Oryctolagus cuniculus: one gene and its partner. The protein of the gene in region 2 binds, or shares a complex with, the protein of the main gene of each other region. Links are inferred from orthologs where the notes say so. Each region holds a gene or a part of one and is shown on either strand. Other genes may lie near its edges.

What was found. Proteins that work in one complex are often made in the same cells at the same time.
Region 1: CDK2AP2 (region 2) and MTA3 share a complex: the UniProt entries of both Homo sapiens proteins name them as parts of the nucleosome remodeling and deacetylase (NuRD) repressor complex. The link is inferred for Oryctolagus cuniculus from reciprocal best matches to the Homo sapiens genes CDK2AP2 and MTA3.

What each region holds. Positions count from the first base shown.
Region 1 is NC_091433.1:159,917,753-159,928,405, reverse strand, and holds part of MTA3 (metastasis-associated protein MTA3), read left to right. Parts: intron 1-933; coding exon 934-1,008; intron 1,009-2,804; coding exon 2,805-2,863; intron 2,864-6,625; coding exon 6,626-6,750; intron 6,751-10,070; coding exon 10,071-10,222; intron 10,223-10,653. UniProt on the Homo sapiens protein: Acts as a component of the histone deacetylase NuRD complex which participates in the remodeling of chromatin.
Region 2 is NC_091432.1:4,573,064-4,584,281, reverse strand, and holds CDK2AP2 (cyclin-dependent kinase 2-associated protein 2), read right to left. Parts: upstream 6,727-11,218; 5' UTR 6,119-6,726; coding exon 6,037-6,118; intron 5,784-6,036; coding exon 5,683-5,783; intron 5,344-5,682; coding exon 5,211-5,343; intron 4,519-5,210; coding exon 4,451-4,518; 3' UTR 3,051-4,450; intron 2,804-3,050; exon of another isoform or gene 2,719-2,803; coding exon of another isoform or gene 2,682-2,718; intron 2,088-2,681; downstream 1-2,087. Other genes in the region: PITPNM1 (membrane-associated phosphatidylinositol transfer protein 1), read right to left, coding at 83-307, 446-567, 649-863, 1,969-2,087, 2,682-2,718. UniProt on the Homo sapiens protein: Acts as a component of the histone deacetylase NuRD complex which participates in the remodeling of chromatin.

The sequences.
Region 1 (10,653 bases), on a different chromosome or scaffold from region 2:
ACACTTTCAATTAGGTGAATGTGCTGAATTTTAAAAAATTACTTGTTTTAGCTGCAGTTCATAGGCCACTCGCTGTGCTGATCTGGTCTTGTAAGCAGACTGCATATGAAACTACCAAAAGAGTTACTGCCCAGTTAAGCATAAAATAGTTAACCTTCTCTAAAATCCATTTTTTCTCTTCAGGCCAAACAGGTGAGTTGATGGGGCAGGTGATAGGCATGGCATGGATGTTGCTTACGTGGGTCACAAGCAGAGCCCTGACTGCAAGCTTAGTGGAAGGCAGAGGGCTGATTCACCCTGCGTACAGTCGGCTGCTGAGGCTTAAGGCTGTGTTGTCAATCATTCAGATCATCATAGTGCTTCTTGGATTACTGAACTTTTTCTATGGTTATGAGTTTCAAGACAAGAATCTCACGTGGCTGTTTCTGAATGCTTAACGAAAGCAGCAAAGGCAAGCTTCCCATTTTTCTAATAGGAAGCACACTTGGCTGTGTTCGTTATCAGAGATTTAGGCTTTTATTCTCTTTACAACAGAATAGGTCAAAATAGAATAGACTTGGAAAAGATGAGAAAAATATACCAGAGACCAAATGTCACCCAATTGTAGCTGGCATTTTTGGAGGTGAAAGTAACTCAGGCTGAAGCTATTTAAATATCATTTCTAAAATTGTGCTGCAGCCTTACCTGTAGCGCAAGAACTTTTCTAAGTAAGTTAAGAAATATTGTCAGTCATAAGGATCATGATTTTTAATAAAATGGGAAGTGAGAAATGGAAAGTGTTGTATTAGAGTCTCTTATTGAATGTAACTTTTTTGGGGTATCTTGATAAGAATTAGTTCGTTTTCTCAAATGCCGCTTCTAGAAGGAATCTTTCAAAGGGATACTTGTTTTATTATTTGAATTTTCATTATATTGTTGAATTTTTTTTTTCAGCTGCCTTGGAAATCATTGACTAGCATCATTGAATATTATTACATGTGGAAAACTACTGACAGATACGTGCAACAGGTGATTTTTTTCATGTTGCTACTCGTATGATACCATTACTGTGAACTTTCTATTTCTATTTTAATATTTCTTAGCAGTGTAGTAATTTTAAATGTTTTGTTTGCTTTATCTTTGACCATTTTGAAGCTACCTGATTTCATATTTTTAAAATATTTTTAAAATCATCATCTTAATATTTCCTTGACTTCAGCATTCATTGTGACAGATAGTTTGGGAAGATGACAGGGAAGGATAGCTCTAGAGAGGCATCATTCCCCTTGCAAACGACACGTGCTTTATCCCTCTGTGAGTGTTGCTGATGAGAAGTACCAAAGGTGTGACAGCAGCACAAGCTTCTTGAACAAGTTATTTTTAATAAAGATTTGAACACTTACAGCATTGCCATCAGACATATAATTTGAGATAAAAGATCCTCTAACTATCTTTCATGACGCTGGTGTGATTATATCCCCTAAGTCTTTGACCTTAACTGTTGTAGTGTTACTAGTCTGATGTTTTAGTAATGTACATAAGATTGTTCTCAAATTTTCTCTACAAGTGGAGAATGATTTAATATTTGAGTCCTTCCCGAATGTCCTAAATTCATGCAACTATCTCAGTTAATTACTTTGAATAGTATTGCCTTTGGGGAGAAGTACAGTTTCTGAAATGACATTAGCCAATGCTTGTTTTACATTCTTACCTTGCTCATGTGCCAGAACTCATTAAGTCAGAGACAGATATTTTAACAGAGACATTTTTTCGGAGTATGCAGGTTACCCAGTGTCAAATAATGGATGCTATAAAAATACATTTTAAGGATTACTTTTAAAAAGTACCATAATGAGTTTTTGAGGTTATAAATAGTGAATAGATGGCCTTGGCTTGTTGAGTCATTTCCAGAGTCAACATCATACAGAATTCAAAAGCATGATTGTTTCAAACTACTTACATAGAAATGAAGACCTTGGAGTCTGGAAACCTGTGTTACTCAAATCAACAAGCAACCATAAATGTGATGGAGATGATGGCCTCCTTGACAATATTTGTGAATTGTCAATACTTGACAGCTTGAATGACAATATGTCCAAAAATGTCATTGCAGGTTGTCCCCCTAAATGTTTTTGTTTCCTACTCTTTGGAAAAATGGAAGACAGCCTTATATTGTAGTTTGTGTTACTTTTGGACATTAACTGTGTTTTGCATTTGCTATTGCATTGCTCAGTGTCTGGATTTTATTATATAATCTCCTTCCCATTCCTTTTCCTGCGTTTAGTTCCTAATTGATACCAGTAAAAACTTAAATGAGTTCAGCCAAGATTTAAAGTTTACTGTAAATCTCCCAACATTTGAGAGTAGATGCTTATTTAATTCTGCTTAGAATAACTGCAAGCTCTTTTCTCCTACTTGGATTTTGGGAAATAATCATCTCTGAATATTCTTCTAAAAGTGAAGATTATATGTTATTTTCCTCCCAGAAAGGCAAGTAAGAAATAAAATAGAAGTTAAATTTGAAAAGTAAAAATGTTACTTTAAAAGTCCTGCTTATTCACTACTGGAGGAATGAGGAATTGAGGTGTTCATTGTGCTATTTTTAAAATCTGTGTCTAAAATGTTAATACTTCAGTTCCGTCTCAGAACTCAGTGACTTTTCTTACTGCAGTTGAAGAATATGCATATGAAAGAAAGCTTTTCTTGAAATAGCAATTTTTGAATTATGCCTTAATGTTTCTTTTCTTGTGTATTTTTAAAGACAATGAAGTGTTAATAATTATTTGGCATTACATATAAAACATTTTATCCATCTTTTGAAATAGAAACGTCTAAAAGCAGCAGAAGCTGAGAGTAAGCTGAAACAAGTGTATATCCCAACTTAGTAAGTAACAGAAATCTTAAAATATTTGTCATGATCTTCATAAAGCATGTCATTTTGTTCAGTGTCAGTCAAATTTGAATTTCTTTGTGTTCGTCATTTCTTCTATAAAGCATGTGACTTGTTTTGTATTACATTACTACAAAGATGTTTTTAGACAAAGGAGCAAGGGAGAGAAACTCCAAATAAACTAACGCAAGAACCACAGGGAGAATGCCACGAACTGTACTTCCATTCAGAGTTACAGGGAAAGTATCAGAAAACTAATCTATGAAAGTCTATATCATTTGAAGCAATGTGTTTAAGAAATCCAATGCTTTTGAAACCTTGCAGGGGTGGGAAGTCTTTTTCAACCAAGGGCCATTTGGATATTTGTAACAATATTCCAGAGCCATACAAAATGATAACTTGAAAACTGGCCTGCTACAGATATATTGAATTTTGAGTCTTGCCTGCAGTTGCCTTGGCAGGGCCAGACCAAATGATTTTGCTGGCTTTATACAGCCCCCAGGCTGGAATTTCCCCCCTCCTGAATGACAGAGTGGGTTTTGTTTGGATATCGTGTATTGCCCTTATGAGGTTTGTTGTTGACATGATTGAGGATTTTACATTGTTTTCTTTATTCTAATACTATAAATTTTGATAATTTCAGGTGTCTGGCATTCTTTTATTATCCTGTGGGTTTCGAAACCATTGTCATATCACAATAAACACCAGTTTCCATATTTTGTGTCTTAAATGAATTATGCTCAATTGAGGTCTTCAGGATTTGAACATTCATTATTCAAAAACATTAATTTATTGAGTACCATGAATATATTGCTATAGTGAGATTAAAATGAAATTTATTACAAGTTTCCATGTGCTTCTCCAAGATTTCCCATTCTTTGAGCTAAGTACAGTTTTTTATACCTAACCATTTGTTTGCTGTCTTTCATTGTTTGCTGTTTTTGTGGACAGGAGACCTCACTGGCAATGAATTGTGATTTTCATATTAATCTTTTACATCATACAAATAACTATTGTTTAATTTTTGAAGTATGTAATTTACAGAGTCCACCATTTGTATTTAGAACTGTAATGTTCCACCTGCAGAGTAATTTCTGATTTATTAAGAGCAACCTCTCCAGAAATAATGTTGCAACTTAGGTGTATTAGATTTTTCAAAAGCAAAAAGTCCAGCTTTCTTATACCTCACAGTGCTTGCACCACCAAAGGAAAAGTACACTTAACCAGGTTTAACCGGGTAATGCAGATCATTGTTCCTAGTCTGTTTTGAATTGACTTGGCAGTCTTGCTCCAGTCAGGGGCCTGCAAGCTATAGTCTGCAGACCAAATCTGACCTATTGCATGTTTTTGTAAGTAAAGTTCTATCGAAACACAGACATGGTCGTTCATTTATGTATTCTCTAACTCTGCTTTTATGCCACAATGGCAGAATTCAGTGCTTTTGACAGAAAACCTGAAATATTTACTATCTGCCCCTTACAGAAGAAGTTTTCCAAGCAAATGGTTTTGGGCATCAGGAATGGAAGAGTACTTCAGAAAGTGTATGGAAAATGGAATTAAAAGATGAGTTTATTTTTGTGCAAAAAATTTGAAGTTTATGCAGTTTTTAATAATGCATATTTTCCATGAACTTTTTAAAAATTAATTCATTTGAAAGGCAGAATTAGAGAGAGTGAGAGACACACAGAGAGAGGTCTTCCATCTATTGGTTCACTCCCCAAGTTTCTGTAAGGACCAGGTCAAAGTCAGGAGCCAGGAGCTTCATTGGGTCTCCCTTGTAGGTGCAGTGGTACAAGTACTTGGGCCATCTTCCACTGCTTTCCTAGGTACATTAGCAGGGAATTGGATCAGAAGTGAGGCAGCCAGGACTTGAGGGTAGCTTCATCTGCTATCCCCCAGTGCTGCCTTCCTCCCTCCCCCGCCCCCACCCCCTTCCCCTTGAATGTTTTAAGGACTTTGCATATGTGTCAGTGATCATCAGGAGGATAAACCAGAGAGATGAAGTGTATGAAGTTCTCAAGGGAACCAGCAGAATAGGATCTGGTGTACAGATGAGAGGGGGTTTGGGCACTAGATAAAATAAAAGGTGATTTCTTACGATGCATCCTTAAAAAGCATTTTTATATTTGTTTCACAAATTGCCCCAGTGAGACTGTTTGTCCTCTAGAACTAACCTGTGGGTCCTTGGTTTTACAGAGCATCTTCAGTGATGCACGTGTTCATACGCAGCATTGGTACACACTCCTTTTGTGATTATTAGCATCACTGCTTTATTCAGTCCAGTAGCATTCTAAAAAATTGGTATTTGCAGTCATTCTTTTTTTTCAGGCAATTCAATTGCAAATTTGCATGAGCTGTTCTTTTTTTTTTTTTTTAATATTTATTTATTTGAAAGTCCGAGTTACACAGAGGCGAGGCAGAGAGAGAGAGAGGTCTTCCATCCGATGGTTCACTCCCCAATTGGCCGCAACGGCTGGAGCTGTGCCGATCCGAAGCCAGGAGCCAAGAGCTTCTTCCAGGTCTCCCACATGGCTGCAGGGGCCCAAGGACTTGGGCCATCTTCTACTGCTTTTCCAGGCCTTAGCAGAGAGCTGGATGGGAAGTGGAGCAGCCAGGTCTCGAACTGGCGCCCATATGGGATGCTGGCGCTTCAGGCCAGGGTGTTAACCCGCTGCGCCACAGTGCTGGACCCTTCATGAGCTGCTTTCTACACATATATTTATCTTAAATGTCAGAAGTTTTCTCATTTCTGGGAATTCATAAGAGTGGACGTTTGGCCTAGTGATTAATACTCCAGTTAGGACACTGGCATCTCATGTTTGAGCTTGAGTCCTGGCTCTTCTCCCTATTTCAGCTTCCTGCTGATGCAGAGGCTGAGAGGCAGCAGGTGGATGGCTCAAGTAGTTGAATATTTGACACCCATGTCCAAGACCTGGTTTGGGATCCCGATCCTGACTTCAGCCTGTCCTATCCTTGGCCATTACAAGCATTTGAGAAGTGAAGCATAGATGGGAGCGCTGTCACTCTCTGTTTCTCTATAAAGAAGTAGATAGGTAGGTAGGTAGGTAGGTAGGTAGACTTGTTCTCTGGAAAGTTTGCCTATAGGCTTCTGATAGCTGTCTCTTTTTCCTCCTAAAAATATTTTTTTTTAAATGGTTTTTCTATTTTCAAGTACAATGTACTCTTCCTCATAAAAATTCAAACATATTAGAAATAATTATCCTGAGCATTCAGAAGCTCCTGGAATCCTAACTTAGCTCTGGAGATAAGCACCACTGGACAGTGCGGTGTCTCTGTTGCACCCGTCGCTTTTGTGCAGGTCCCTGGAGGGCAAGCGTGTAGACTCAGCAGCTCTCACACGAGCAGCAGGAATGGGACAGTGATAACAACAATGTTACCTTTAACCTAGGATTAATTTTGATCCAAAAAATTTGTTTTTCTCAGGAGAATTTATTCTAAGTGATGAAACTTAATAACGTGTCGTTCAAAAGCATCACAGGATGTTCTAAGGAAGCTATGTTGGTTGGAGAAGAGATATGGCCACATTTACTTTGTGAATATCAGCCATAAGAGATTCAGCTTTGTTTTGTCAAGATGAGTGCTTTAGATCCATTTTAACACCTTGTGTTAACACGAGGGTTTTTATCCTTCAGATGTTTTGGAGTTTATGTTAATGATGAATCAGTAATGAGATGTAGAGTTTTTTGCCTTGTTTAAAAAATCATTTTTATTACCTCACTGCACGTTTCATGGAAGCAGCAAACCAAATCCCAACCAAATATCCACCAGCAATGGCAAGCCCGGGCCTGTGAATGGAGCAGTGGGGAATACATTCCAGCCCCAGAATCCTCTCTTAGGGCGAGCCTGTGAGAGCTGCTTTGGTAAGTGTTTCCCCCCAGGATGTCCTTTCTTTTGGGGCCTGTAGGTGGGGCGGGAGCTTGCAGTCTGTGGTGCGCAGAGAGCAGCGAGCAGATGCCCTTCCTTACCTTCTGCCTGGACATAGGGCAGTCACTGAGTGCTTGCTAGGTGCACAGCCCAGCAAGGCCTCAAGGTTCCTGTGATTGCTTCTCCGGGCCCCTTCGTCTGTTGAGCTTCTGATGGCAGTATCTGCCAGCCTTTGTTCAGAGTTGTACTGGCTTCACCCAAATCATGGTTCGTGATACATACCAGATCCCCTCTGGGGCTTCTCGGTATACTTGGGAAAATGAAAGGCAACAGCTGAATCTGTAGGGAATACCTGTGTGGACAAACTGCTATGTATAACCCTCAGATCCAGTCCCTCCAGGCACTATGTTGGGAGACATTGTTTTGTGATAGTTGCTTCTGGCCCCAAGGCCCTGCGGTATTTATGCTGGCACAGATAGTATGATGTTATATTATGCTGCTTGCCTGGGTGTTAAGTGGGCTTGGACAGAATACTACATATTTGGTAGTTGATACAACTTTATACATTTATTTAATATCTTAAGCAACAGTATAATCTCTTGATGGGGACATTGGTGACATTATAATTTCTTTTTCTTTCTAATCATGGTGGCTGGGGTAAGAAAGGAAAGGAAATGAATGTTATTGAATGTTCACTTGGTGTAGCTGGGGAGTCTGAGCAGCTCTCTGGGAGGGTAGAAGTAGCCTACTGCCTTAAAGATGGAGGCATGAGGGACATTTGTGACCCCGCCGCATACTCTGCTTTAGAGAAGGCAGTGACAGCCAAGTCGTGTAATCAGTCATCTCTCAGACCCCAAGCAAAATGTGAACCAGACAGATTGCTGGCTTCCTAGGTAGGAATGGCGCATGTAGGGATGGTCTGCACTGTAGGGACAAGGAGGGAAGCAATCTGTGGACAGCTAGAGTCTTTTGGTCAAAACTTTACATAGATAGCAATGTCAGCATCTTGGACTTGAGAATGCTCAGATTTTGAAGTTCATGTATGTTTAAATGAAATAAAAAGAATTCTACTGGCAAATGATAGTGACTTAATCTTTTATTTTTTATTATTATTATTATTTTTTTATTTAACAGGTGGAGTTATAGACAGTGAGAGAGAGAGACAGAGAGAAAGGTCTTCCTTCTGTTGGTTCACAACCCAAATGGCCGCTACGGCCGGCACTGCACCAATCCGAAGCCAGGAGCCAGGTGCTTCTTCCTGGTGTCCCATGTGGGTGCAGGGGCCCAAGCACTTGGGCCATCCTCCACTGCCCTCTCGGGCCACAGCAGAGAGCTGGACTGGATAGGAGCAACCAAGACTAGAACCCGAAACCCATATGTGATGCCGGTGCCACAGGTGGGGGATTAGCCAAGTGAGCCAGCCACGGCGCCGGCCCCTGTTTGTTTGTTTATTAAAGATTTATTTATTTATTTGAAAGTTAGAGTTACACAGAAAGAGAGCTTTTCCACCCGATGGTTCAATCCCCAAATGGCCACAACGGCTGGAGCTGCGGTGATCCAAAGCCAGGGGCCCAAGGACCTGGGCCATCCTCCACTGCCTTCCCGGGCCACAGCAGAGAGCTGGACTGGAAGAGGAGCAACCGGGACAGAATCCAGCACCCCAACCAGGACTAGAACTCTGGGTAGCAGCGCCGTAGGCAGAGGATTAGCCTAGTGAGCCGCGGCGCCGTCCTGCAGTTGGCATCTTAATATACACAGTTTGAGCATTGTGATCTGAAGAAGATGACTTATTACAGATCAGAAAAGAATGTGCCAAGGCAGATTTATAGCACTAGAATCATTTTCCTGCTCCTCTTCGACCTAATGTTGAAACATCAATGTTTTCTGTCTTAAACTTCATATCCATCCTGGATATACAGGTTTCTTAAATGTTAACATGGCATAATTTAAATTGCAAGATAAAATTTACACAGACTTGCAGTGTTGTTCAGCCATGTGATAAGTCAACATGTTTGGGTCTTAAAATCATGTTGTGTGTACTCATTTGATACAGATTTATAGTTTTGAACAAGAATCTGTTTTTAGAAGGAGAAATCATAACATAAGGATTTTATCTATTGATTAAAATAAAGGGTTGGAAAACAGAGACCTGTTTCTGTTAGGTTCCTAACCTTCTTAGTGGGGCCTTTCTGAGTACCTTAAATAAACCCAAGCATGGTTTATGAACCGTAGGCTTATAAACTGTGACTTAGGTTTTAAGCACTAGTAATAAACACATTATCTTTCTGAGAACTTATTCCAGAAATGTACACCAAAAAATATTTGAATTAGTGAAACAAAAAAAACTCCCTCAGAGGCACAATGTAAAATATAGGATCCCTCACCTAATAGTCTCTCTCTCTCTCTCTCTCTCTCTCTAAGATTATTTTATTTATTTGAAAGACAGAGTTACAGAGAGAGGTTGAGACAGAGAGGGCTTCTACCCACTGGTTCACTCCCCTATTGGCTGCAACGGCCGGAGCTGCGCCGATCCAAACCCAGGAGCCAGGAACTTCTTCTGGAGCTCCCACGTGGGTGCAGGGGCCCAAGGATTTGGGCCATCGTCTGCTGCTTTCCCAGGGCACAGCAGAGAGCTGGAATAGAAGTGGAACAGCTGGGACTAGAGCCGGTGTCCATATGGGATGCCGGTGCTTCAGGCCAGGGTGTTAACCCGCTGCACCACAGCACCGGCCCCCCCCTTTTTTTTTTTTTTTTTAAGATTTATTTATTTATTTATTTGAAAGGCAGAGTTAAAGAGAGGCAAAAGCAGAGAGAGAGAGAGAGAGAGAGAGAGAGAGGTCTTTCACCTGCTGGTTCACTCCCCAAATGGCTGCAATGGCTAGAGCTAGGCTGGTCCGAAGCCAGGAGCCTGAATATTCCACATGGGTGCAGGGGCCCAAGGACTTGGGCCATCTTCTGCCGCTTTCCCAGGCGCATTCATAGGGAGCTGGATTGGAAGTGGAGCAGTCATGACTTGAACCGGTGCTGATACTTAGATACTGTACATACCCACTATGCCACAGCAGCGGCCCCTAATAGCCTCTCTTAATATGCGCCACAAGTGCTTGATTTATAATAAGGATAAATGATTTAATGAAAGATACATGTGTATGTGTTGTACTTTCATACTTGGCTTATAAGTTAGGGGAAGAAAAATAATCCTATAAACTGAAAATGGCTTTGGGATGTTTTTGAAATATTTGATTATATTTATACTGATGTTACAAATTACATGGCATCCTTTTTTTTTTTCCTCTTACTTTTCTCTCATCTGTAGCTACACAGTCTCACCAGTGGTATTCTTGGGGCCCACCTAACATGCAGTGTAGATTGTGTGCAACTTGTTGGCTTTATTGGAAAAAATATGGAGGCCTGAAAATGCCCACCCAGTCAGAAGAAGAGAAGCTATCTCCCAGCCCAACCTCAGAGGTACACGAGCAGCAGTGGGTTCTAGTGTTGAAAATGTCATGCTTTTCAGTGATCAGATCATTCCCTGGAAGCAGAAATAAAATACAGGATAATGTCATAATGAGCAAAGCTGTTTTCATAACTGAACATAGCACTACTATATTCAGGGTGGGTGTGGAAAGAAGAGCAGGAAAAAATAATTTTCTCCCCAGGGATTCAAAATAATGGTCTTGGGAGATTACTCAGACAAAAGAATACTGTATGTGGGAGGTGTCAACACAACCCGAGAGTTTACAAATTAAATGTTTATTTTAACTGCTTTTGAAAACAGTGTGTAATCTTTAGATACTATTAAGCATGTCTTATTACATAAAGTAATAAATGTAAATTAAGCATTTTCTTCCTCCCTGGTCTATTGTGGAGGGACAATAAGAAATGGACTCAGTTTATCA
Region 2 (11,218 bases):
ACCTCACCGCTCCGGCACCTCCAGCCCCGCCCGGCTGTGCCATCCCCCACCTCGTCGGGCTGGGGGTGGGGCGGGTGCTCACCGACGTCGTGGATAAACTGCTCGATCTTGGCCTGCATGCCCCAGTAACGGAATTCCACCTTGCACAGCTTGTAGGCGCACATGAGCGGCCCCGTCTGGGCTGCCGTCCGCGCCCAGTCGTCCGCCAGCGGCCCCCGGCCTGTCTTCACCGAGCGGTACAGCCGAGGGTCCTCTTCCGCCTTGTACTCGCCCGGGGCCACGGCATCCCGCACGATGTCGATGGTGTCTGCGGGGTCCCAGCAGGCACTGAACAACGCCTGCCCCTTCCAGCCCCTGTCTCCCCCAGGGGTTCCCAGAGAGGAAGCTGAGGCCCGTGGGGAGCTGCGCCCGGGGGAGGGGGTGGCAGGGGGGCTCCAGGCCTCACCCAGGATGCGCTGTCTTCTCTCAGCCCCGCTCAGGTTGAACACGTTCGGCTGCTGCCCGCCGTCGGGTAGGTAATAGGTCTCGATTTCAATGGAGAACTTCTCCACGAAGGGGCAGGTGTACCTGGGCCGAGGGCAAGGGTCACTCGTGTGCCCACCGGGCATGCTCCCCACTGCCCGCCCCACGCCCTCGCTGCGTGCTCACCGTGTCCGCGTGTAGGGGTACGCGTTCCATGACTCCTCCTCCACCTGCAGGGCGGCCTTGGGCAGCAGCGCCCGGAACCAGCCTGGGATGTGGGAGCCCACATGGTACACCTTGTGCGTGTACTGCCCGCTGCCTCCGGGCCCATCCGTGTAGGGTCGGTTGGCCAGGATCTCCACGCCGCTGCCCTCACCACTAGACTCCTCCCGGCTCTTTTTCTGCAGCCCAGGGCACAGCATAGCAGCGAGCTCAGCCCCAGCTCAGCTCCAGGAGCCCCCCAAACCCCCCACCGCTTGGGCCTGGCCCCCGGCACGGCCTTTCCAACTCCCTGAAGCGACCCTGGCTCCCTGCGATCAGGGTCAAGGGCATGGCCGGGTCCCTGGTCCCCTGTGGGGTTCTGCAACCCCGCATGCAAGGGGCAGTGTCTTCCACTCCAGCCATTGATCGGGACGATCGTGATAGGGCTGATGAGCAGAACAAAGGCTACCTTCTCGGGGCGCAAAGAGCAATGGCAGGGGCTGGTAAGCGCCACGGGAAACAGAACGGAGAGGGGTGACGAGGTAGGGATGGCGGTTTTGGCGATGGGGAAGGCCTGGCCGAGATGACAACCGGACCCCCCTGTGGACACGGCCAGGGCGGGGGGAAGGACTGGAGGCAGGGGAGGGCGGCTGGCGGGCTGCCTGCCAGGGTGCTCAGGGTGGCAGGATCAAAGGAGACGAGCCGAGACCCCAGCTCTGGGGCACCCGACCCGGCCCCTGCCTCCCGGGACCCCAGCCCCAGCTCCTGCCGCAGCCCTCATAGCTTGAGAGCGTCCTCACAGCCCGACCGTCTAGGGCTCTGGAGGCCAAACCTGGCCCATTCAACCCCGAGAACCTCTGGTCTCTGACCCCCCCGTTCTGGGGGGCAGATCTGGAACTGCCCAGGCCCACTCTTCTCCAACTAAGTGCTGACCCCTCCCTCAGCCTGGGGTCCCTGCGGCGCGCGCCTGTCCCAGCTGTGGGGCTTGGTGCTCTAGACCCCGTCCCCACCGGCCCCCCCCTTCCTTGCTGCCTCCCCAGGGGACTACAGCTTGGAGGATTACAGGGGATCAGACGTGGGCGGAGTGGGGTGGGCACTGCGGGTGGGGGCGCCCCTCGGCCTCCCTGCCCCTTTGCCCGAAGCCCTTACCCCAGCCCCTCCCGCACCGGAGCAGGGGCCTCTGCTCCCCGGGGCCCCAGCCCCTTTCAGGCCCCGCACCTCTCTGGCCGGGGTCGGGCCGGCCTCTCCCCCCTCCCGCCCCCGGCCTATCCCGCCCCCCGCGGCGCGCCTCCCCTTCGCCCTCACCTGAATCATGTACAGCTGGGCCACCTGGTATTCGTCCAGGCTCATGGGCAGCAGGATGTGGTACTCCTTGATGAGCATCCTGACGGCGCCCGGCGGGCCGCGCGCGGCCTCCGCTCCGCCTGGCGCAGGGCACGGCGCGGCCGTCAGTGCGGGGCGGCGGCGGCGCGCGGCCCCGAGCCCTGCGCGCCGGCCCGAGGGCTCGGGCTGCGGGACCCCATGCCCGGGCCCGCCGCGGGCGAGGCGGAGGCGAGCCCAGCGCTGCCACCCGCGCCGCCGGGGGCCGGAGCCGCAGCCCCGCTCGGCGCTGACCTCCTTTCCGCGCAGCCCCCGCCCCCCGCCCGCCCGTCGCCATGGCAACCGCGCGCTGACGCGGGCCCCCCTCGGAGCCGCGGGCACGGGCCAGCGGGCAAGGGTCCGGCCAGTCTCCCCTCTCTCGCCGGGGCCTCGTCCTTAGCGCCCTGGAAACGGCATCCCTCCGGGGCCGCGCCCCTAGGAGCCCCCGAGCCCCTCCTTCCGGGCCCGCCCTCCAAGACCAGCCCCCCGGGGACCCGCCCCCTGGACCCCTCTCCCAGGTCTGTCCGGTCCCGCGTCCCCCCGCTGCCGGACGTCCACCGAAACCTTGCCTCTGGCCCTCGCCAGAGCGCGCCCGTGCGCCCCAGCATCTCTGACACTGCCCCCCCCCCCCCGCCGCCGCGCGCCGCACCCGAACCCACCTGCCAAAACCGGACAGCCCGGCAGGCAGCCAATCATGTACTCCCCCCGGCCAGCATCCCTCCAGGACCCCCGCCCCGCGCTCTGTCCTGGTCCATCCTCCTCCCCCAGGGCTGACCCCCTAGGACTGAAGCCAGGGTGCTCCACTAGGGATCGCGCGGGCTCCGGCCCCAGGAGACCGCTCCGCCCACCTGCGACCTAACCAGGCACCAAGGTTCTGCCGCGGGCACCCCGCCCCCCACCCTCGCCGCCACCTCCACCTCCATCCCCCCCGCCAGCGAGCGGGCGAGAGGCCCGGCTGTCCCCACTTCCCCCTGCGCCCAGGCGTCCCCGTCCCCTGCTGCGCCTTGGCTCGCCAGCCAACCGCTTACCTCCAGTTTAGGGCTCATGCGGGGGCGGCCGGCCTGCGGGCCAGAGCCCGGAGCGCCCCCAGCCCCGGCCTCGGGTTCCAGCGGAGGCCGGCCCCTCTGGAGGTGCAGCGCGGGCCCATGGCCCCGACCTTTCTCCCGGCCGGCCCGCCCGCCCGCGCCCCTGCTGCCCCTCCCCGCCGCGTCACCGCCGCCGCCCCGCCCCCTTCCTGGGCCCGGCCGGCGGGGTCCGCGCAGCCCCGCCCTGGGCGGCGGAGGGCAGGCCGCGGGACAGAGGCCTTTCCCCGAGTGCCGGTTCTTTCCGGTGCGGCTCCGAGTCCCCTGAGACCCTGGGTTCCTTTGGTGCGCCCCGCCCTCCCGGGGGGCCACGAGGGGCGGAGCCTGGCAAGGCCGGCTCCTCGCTCTGCTTCCCGGGAACGCGGGCCAGGGTCTGGGCGGAAGCCGGTGGCTCCGGACTCGCCTCCACCGCAGCTGGGGTACCGGGGCCCCAGGCCTACGGTCACTCTGCCACTGCTGCCACCCCAGGGCCTTGGGCTAGCCGCTGAGCGTGTCCCAAGGTCTGCCCTTAGACCCCGGGGCAGTGTCAGCGCAGGGATGGGCCGGGTCTCCCGACGCTGGAATCTCCCCTGGAGCCCTGCCCGGGTGCTGGGGGAGGGAGCAGCAGTGGCGTGCCCTCCCCCACACCTGTGTCCGTCTCGGGCGGGGTCCTGGTTCGGAGCCCTCCAGGGCCGGGCGCTCACGCAGGTAAGGGCGCGGTTTCCCCCGCCCCAGGAAGCGCCCTCCAGGCTCGGCAGGGCCCGCGCCTCCAGCGTGGAGGCGGCCAAGGCCCTGCGCTGCCCCCTGGTGGTGGCACGCGAAGGTCAGCGGGGTCCGCCAAGCCCGGGGCGAGGGCAGAGGGCCCGGGTCCGGGCGGCCTCCCCGCTCCCCGCACCTGCTCTGCCCCTCTCCCAGCCCGACCCACCCCGACCCCGACCCCGACCCAGACCCAGACCGGCTCGGCGCTGAGAGAACAACTCCAAATCATCTTTTATTTTTATAAAAAGGGCATAGTTAGCAAAAGACACACCAAGAAAAAGAGTGGCTACGGCCCGGGAGACAAGGCGGGAGGCGCCAGGCCTTCGGGGGAGGCGGCGGCCGGGGGCAAGGAGAAAAGCTGGGTGCGAGAATCGGCAGTGGGTTCCTCGCTGGGGGCCGGTCGTGGCGGGAGGCGCTCCCAGTGGCCGTGCTGCTCCCGCAGGGGAAGGGGCCCGGGGCAGTGCTGCCCGCTGCCGGCTGCAGCGAGAGCCACCCAGGGGCCCTGGCGGGCACCCACCGTGGGACCCGGAAGGAAGCCCAGGCCGGAAGTGCAGCTCGGGGCGAGGGCCAGGGAGAAGCAGGCGCGCTGCAGTGGCCGGAGAGGTCCGTTACGTGCGGGCGTTCCGCTCTGTCTCCGCCAGGCACTCTCTGACCAGGGCCCGGGCGTGGATGATGCCTGGCGGGGGGGTGGGGACGGGGAGGTGACAGGCAGGGTCTCCACAGCCCGGGGCGGGGGGGTGGGGACGGGGAGGTGACAGGCAGGGTCTCCACAGCCCCGGGGCCGGGGGTGGGGACGGGGAGGTGACAGGCAGGGTCTCCACAGCCCCGGGGCCGGGGGTGGGGACGGGGAGGTGACAGGCAGGGTCTCCGCCCCCCCCCAGGGCACAGGTGCAAGAGGGGCTGGCTCTGTCTGGGTGGTGACGCCCTGGTCCAGCCCCGGGGCGGGGTGGGGGGTGTGGACGGGGAGGTGACAGGCAGGGTCTCCGCCCCCCCCAGGGCACAGGTGGAAGAGGGGCTGGCTGTCTGGGTGGTGCCCCCAGCCCTGGTCCAGCCCCTGGGTGGGGGTGAGGACAGGGAGGTGACAGGCAGGGTCTCCACAGCCCAGGGGCGGGGGTGAGGACAGGGAGGTGACAGGCAGGGTCTCCACAGCCCCAGGGCGGGGCGGGGGTGGGGACGGGGAGGTGACAGGCAGGGTCTCCACAGCCCAGGGGCGGGGTTGGGGACCGGGAGGTGACAGGCAGGGTCTCCGCCCCCCCCAGGGCACAGGTGGAAGAGGGGCTGGCTCTGTCTGGTGGTGCCCCCAGCCCTGGTCCAGCCCCGGCCTCTCTGCCTCACACATCAGGGGCCGGGCTCGCTCGGCTCGCTCACCTCGCTTCAGCCGCTCCATGGCGCTCTTGCTGCCCGCGTAGGTGGGCCGGATCTCCTTCCCCATCTCTTCGATCACCGACAGCAGGTCCGTGTAGGTGCTCTGCGAGCCCTGGGCGCCGGGGGGCTTCATCGCCTAGCGCAGGAGACGAGAGGGGCCGGACATTTGGCCTGGCTGAGATGCCCACGTCCCACTCAGGCTGGGTTCGCGTGCAGCCCCCTGCCGCAGACGCCCCCTCCCCGAGAGGCGGCAGGTGCAGGCAAGCAGCCGGGTCCCTGCCATGCAGCGGGGAGGCCTGCCTCGAGTCCCCAGCTCGACTTCAGCCGGGCACACCTGGCGGCTGCGGGCAGCTGGGGAGTGACCCCGTAGATGGGCGCTCACTGTTCTGTCTGCCTCTCGAATTAAAAAAAAAAAAAAAAAAAAAGGCGACCCAGGGCAGTAAGCGCGGGCCCCCCCAAGCCCCTGGCCACCCACCTGCACGTAGCCCATGGACGGCGGTCCGAAGTCGTTAAACAGCGGTCTGAAAGGGGCAGCGGCTCCCGGCACCGAGCCCGACGGGGACGGGACACTTCCGGCTGCAACCAGGCGCGGGGCAGAGGTCAGCGCGGGCGGGGACGCCGCCCCCCAGCTGTCCAAGCCCCAGACCCGCGGGAGGATGCTTCCTTCCACGCGCACCAACTTCGGGCACGGACCCCACCCACGCGCCCTACGTGGGCACGCCCACTCCACGGGCCAGCAAACTGAGGCCCCGCGCGGGGAGGCAGCGGGCCCAGCGCCGCGGACCTCGGTCGCCCAGGCAGGCGGGCAGGGCTGCAGCTGGAGCCTCACCTGTGGGGACCGGCGTGCCCGGCCCAGGCGTGCTGGAGCCAGGGGTACTGCTGGGGGCGGGGGCGATGGGCTTGTAGGACATCCCCGGCTCCTGGGTGCGGCGGACGCCGGCCGGCCGCTCCTCCGGGGTTGGCTGCCGGGCGCCCAGCCGCGCTCTGATTGGCAGGCGGGCTGCACGCCCCTGGTAAAGAGCGCTCCGGCCGGAAGGGCGGGCGGGCACGGCCGCTCCTCACTCCCGATTGGCGCGCGGAGACGTCACTCGAGCCTCCTTACCGGCCGGGCCCCGCCCCCGCAGGCCGCAACGGCCGCCGATTGGCCGCCGTCTTCCGGACCTCGCACCTGTCTGCTCCGGATTGGGCGGTGGCCGCCGCCCTCCGCAATTGGCGAGTTCGCGGCCCGAGCCGGCGCGCTCTCAATCCGATTAGTCCCGAGGCCCGAGGAGGGCGGGGCCTCGGGAGCCCGGGCCAGGGTCCGGACCGTCGCGGTTCGCGCCGAGCGGGCCTGGCCCAGGCGGGGCGCCGGCCGCGCGGTGCGCTCGGCGCTGCTTCGCTCGTCGGCTCCGCGCCTCCCGGGCCCGGTCCGGCTGGGGCTGGGGCCGCCGCCGCCGCCGCCGCCTCGCGCGCCCTCCCTGCGCTCCGGGTGCCGGAGGACGCAGGGCTTCGACGTCCCGAGCCCCGCGCTCCACCCCGCGCGCTTTTACGTCACCTTTCGCCGGTTCAACACCCGCTCCACGGTCTGCGCACGCGCGCGCCCGCGGCCTCCGCTTGTTGCCATGGCAACGGGCGCCGGCCACGCCCGCCCCCGGTGCTCCGGCTCTGGATTGGCTGGCACTCGGGTTCGGGGCGGAGCTAGAGCCGCCCGCGGCCTCCGAGACCCTGGAGCCCAGCTCCGGCCCGCGGCGGCGTCTGCACAGTCGGTGGGAGTGCTTGCTGGGTGCCGCGCTGGGCCACACGGGTCATGGACGCGAGCCCCGGCTGGGGTCCCCCGTGTTGGAACCTCAGCACCGCCCCCATGCCCTGGTGATCTTCCCCCCACCCCGGGCAAGGCGCACGCCTCGGCGTCCCTCAGTTTCCCCAGCTGTCAAATGGGGAGAGTGGCCATCTCAGGGTGGGTGTGCGGACTAAGTGATGCCTGCCACTTGGGCCTCTCTTGCCCCGCGGAGACCCCACCCCCGTCCAGTCCCCACGACCCTGGCGCTCAGAGCCGCCCCCGCCCAGGCACCGAGGGCGCTCTCCCGACAGCCTCTGCCCCTCACGCTCTGTAGAGCTTCATCCCAGAACGTAGTCATTCATGCATTCATTCATTCGTTCATTTGTCCAACAAACATTTCCTAACTCCCTTCCGCCATGCCAGCACGGAGGTTCCAGAATGGCGGGGCCTGGCCTCGGTCCTCTGGGAGACAGCAGAGGCTTGCAAGGCAATAAGATGGGGGTCAAAGTGGAGACTGGAACGTGGAGGGAGGGACCATCTGCTGACGTCGCAGGTGGCGCTTTAAAATGTTTAAAGTAGGCCAGCGCCGTGGCTCACTAGGCTAATACTCCGCCTGCGGCGCCGGCACCCCGGGTTCTAATCCCGGTCGGGGCGCCGGATTCTGTCCTGGTTGCCCCTCTTCCAGGCCAGCTCTCTGCTGTGGCCCAGGAGTGCAGTGGAGGATGACCCAAGTGCTTGGGCCCTGCACCCCATGGGAGACCAGGAGAAGCACCTGGCTCCTGGCTTCAGATCAGCACGGTGCACCAGCCACAGCGGCCATTGGAAGGTGAACCAATGGAAGGAAGACCTTTCTCTCTGTCTCTCTCTCACTGTCCACTCTGCCTGTCCCCCCAAAAAAAAATGTTTAAAGTTCATTGTTCAAGAGGCAGAGAGAAAGGCTGGCGTTGGCATAGCTGCCGGTGATGCCAGCATCCCATGGGAGAGCTGGTTCAAGCCCCTGCTCTGCGTTTCCAGTCCGGCTCCCTGCTAATGTCCCTGGGGAGACAGTGGATGATGGTCCAAGTGTTGGATCCCTGCCACCCACGTGGGTGACCCAGATGGAGTTCCAGGCTTCTGGCTTCTGCCTGGCCCAGCCCTGGCCCTTGAGGCCATCTGGGGAGTGAACCACCAGCTGGAAGACCTTTCTCTCTGTCTCCCTCTCACTGTCTGTAACTACCTCTCAAATAAATCTTGGGAGGAGAGAGAGAGAGAGAGAGAGAGAGAGAGAGTCAGACGAGTGCCCTGCCCACTGGCGCATGCCCCAAGTGCCCACCATGGCTGGGATTTGGCTGGGCTGAAGCTGGGAGCGGGGACGGCCCAGGTCCCTCGTTGGGATGGCAGGGACCCAGGTACTTGAGCCATCCAGGGCTTCCCTGGGAGTTGGGATTCAGAGCCAGAAATTGATCCCAAGAACTCAGATCCAGGATCGGGCTTCTGCTAACTGCTAGGCCTACCCCGTCAGTGGGAGCTGAGCTGCGAGGCGGCACTCAGGAGAGGGACTGTCAGGGGCAGAGGTCCGCAAGTGTGAGAGCTCAAGCCACTGGAGTACTGGCAGAAAAGGGCAGCTCCGGCCAATGTGGCCATCTGGGGAGTGAACCAGCAGTGGAAGACCTCTCTCTCTCTCTCTCTCTCTCTGTAACTCTACCTCTCAAGTAAATAAAAAAATTAATTTTTATTTAGTCACCTAAAAGAGGAAGAGGGAGAGGGAGAGCAAGAGCATAAGAGATTTCTACCATCTGGTGGCTTACTCCCCCAGATGGCCACAACAGACAGGACTAGAGCAGACTGAAGCCAGGAGCCAGGAGCTTTTTCCAGCTCTCCCTCTTGGGTGCAGGGGCCCAAGGACTTGGCCGTCTACTGCTGCTTTCCCAGGCCACAGCAGGGAGCTGGATGGGAAGTGGAGCAGCCGGGGCTCCCATACAGGATGGGATGCTGGTGGTGCGGCAGGCCCGCTCCACCTGCTACACCACAACACCAGCCCCAACCCCCTCAACTCACTTTTGGGAAAACCTCCGATAAAAAGCAAAAAACAGGCTGGCGCCGCGGCTCACTAGGCTAATCCTCCGCCTAGCGGCGCCGGCACACCAGGTTCTAGTCCCGGTTGGGGCGCCGGATTCTGTCCCGGTTGCCCCTCTTCCAGGCCAGCCCTCTGCTGTGGCCAGGGAGGGCAGTGGAGGATGGCCCAGGTGCTTGGGCCCTGCACCCCATGGGAGACCAGGAGAAGCACCTGGCTCCTGCCATCGGATCAGCGCGGTGCGCCGGCCGCAGTGCGCCAGCCGCGGCGGCCATTGGAGGGTGAATCAACGGCAAAAGGAAGACCTTTCTGTCTCTCTCTCTCTCTCACTGTCCACTCTGCCTGTCAAAAAAAAAAAAAAAAAAAAAAAAAGGCAAAAAACAGAAGGTGGTGACAGAGCAGGTTAAGCCGCTGCCTACGAAGCCAGCAGCCTACATCCGAGGGCCAGTTTGGGTTTAGGCCGCTCTGCCTCCCATCCAGCTCCCGGCTAATGGGCTGGGCAGGCAGCAGCCAGTGGCCCAAGTGCTTGAGCCCCTGCACCCACGTGGGAGATCCAGGTGGAGTTCCCGGCTCTTGACTTCGGCCTGGTCCAGCACTGGCCACTGTGGCCATTTAGAGAGTGAACCACCAGATGGAAGATCAATCTCTCTCTGTCTCTCCCTCTCCCTCTCCCCCTCCTCCCTCCCTCCCTCTCCCTCCCTCTCCCTCTCTCTCTCTCTCTCTCCCTCTCCCTCTCTCTCTCCCTCTCCCTCTCCCCCTCCTTCCCCCTCTCCCTCCCTCTCCCTCTCCCTCTCCCTCTCCCTCTCCCCCTCCTTCTCCCTCTCCCTCCCTCCCTCCCTCTCCCTCTCCCCCTCCCTCCCTCCCTCCCTCCCTCCCCTCTCTCTCCCCCCTCTCCCTCCCTCTCCCCCTCCCTCTCTCTCTCTCCCTTTCCCTCCCTCTGTCTCTCTCTGTCTCTCTCTATCTCTCTCTCTCTCCCCCCGTCTCCTTCTCTATTGTAACTGTGCCTTCCAAATAACAGTAGTGTCCATTTAACTGTTCTCTCTACTCTCTGTAGTTTCCAATGCATTCATACTCTCATACTGTTGACAAGGGGTCCACCAATTCCCCCACGCCCCCTGCTCACGGGAGTCCCTCTGCGGAAGCCTGCAGTGGGCGAGGCTGGAGAGAAGCCCTGAGGCCACGCCCCCTCCGGTCTCCCATGCCCGCGACATTGGCCTGCCTGTGCGGACACACAGACAGGACAGAACAGACGGAGCGGCTTCAAACACACATTTGTTTTCTCGGTGCTGGAGGCTGGGCGGCCGCGTGTTGGTTTCCGGCGCAGGCTCGCTTCCTGGCTGGTGCAGGGAGACGCTGGGCTCCTGGTGTCTTCCAGGACACGCGTCCCCTCAGAGAGGCGCCCCCGCCCCCCGCAGCGCGTCTCACCCGGCCCAGCTCCGGTGCAGGAGCACAGTGGGGCTAGGGCTGGGGCACGCGGATTTTGTGGTTATGATGTATTGTATTTTGTTTGATTTTTTTTTTTTATTTGACAGGCAGAGTTAGACAGAGAGAGAGAGAGATAGAGAGAAAGGTCTTCCTTCCATTGGTTCACTCCCCAAGTGGCCACCATGGCCGGCGCTGCGCCATTCCGAAGCCAGGAGCCAGGTGCTTCTCCTGGTCTCCCATGGGGTGCAGGGCCCAAGCACTTGGGCCATCCTGCACTGCACTCCCTGGCCACAGCAGAGAGCTGGCCTGGAAGAGGGGCAACCAGGACAGAACCTGGCACCCATATGGGATGCCGGCACCACAGGTGGAGGAGTAACCAAATGAGCCATGGCACTGGCCCATGATGTATTTTTTTGAAAGGCAGAGAGAGAGAGAGAGAGAGAGAGAGAGAGAGAGAAAGGAGAGGGAATCTTCCATGTGCTGGTTCACTCCTCAGATGGCCTCAACGGCTGGGGCTGGGCCAGGCCGATGCCAGGAGCCAGGAGCTTCCTCCAGGTCTTCTGTGTGTGCAGGAGCCCAAGCACTTGGGGCCATCTCGCGCTGCTTTCCCAGGCATTAGCAGGGAACTGGATTGGACGTGGAGTGGTGGGACATGAACCGGCACCCACCTGGGATGCTGGCGTCCCGAGCAGTGGCCTAATCCACTGCGCCATAGCGCCAGTCCCGAGCATATGATTTTGGGGGGACACACTCAGTCCATCCCTGCCACAAAAG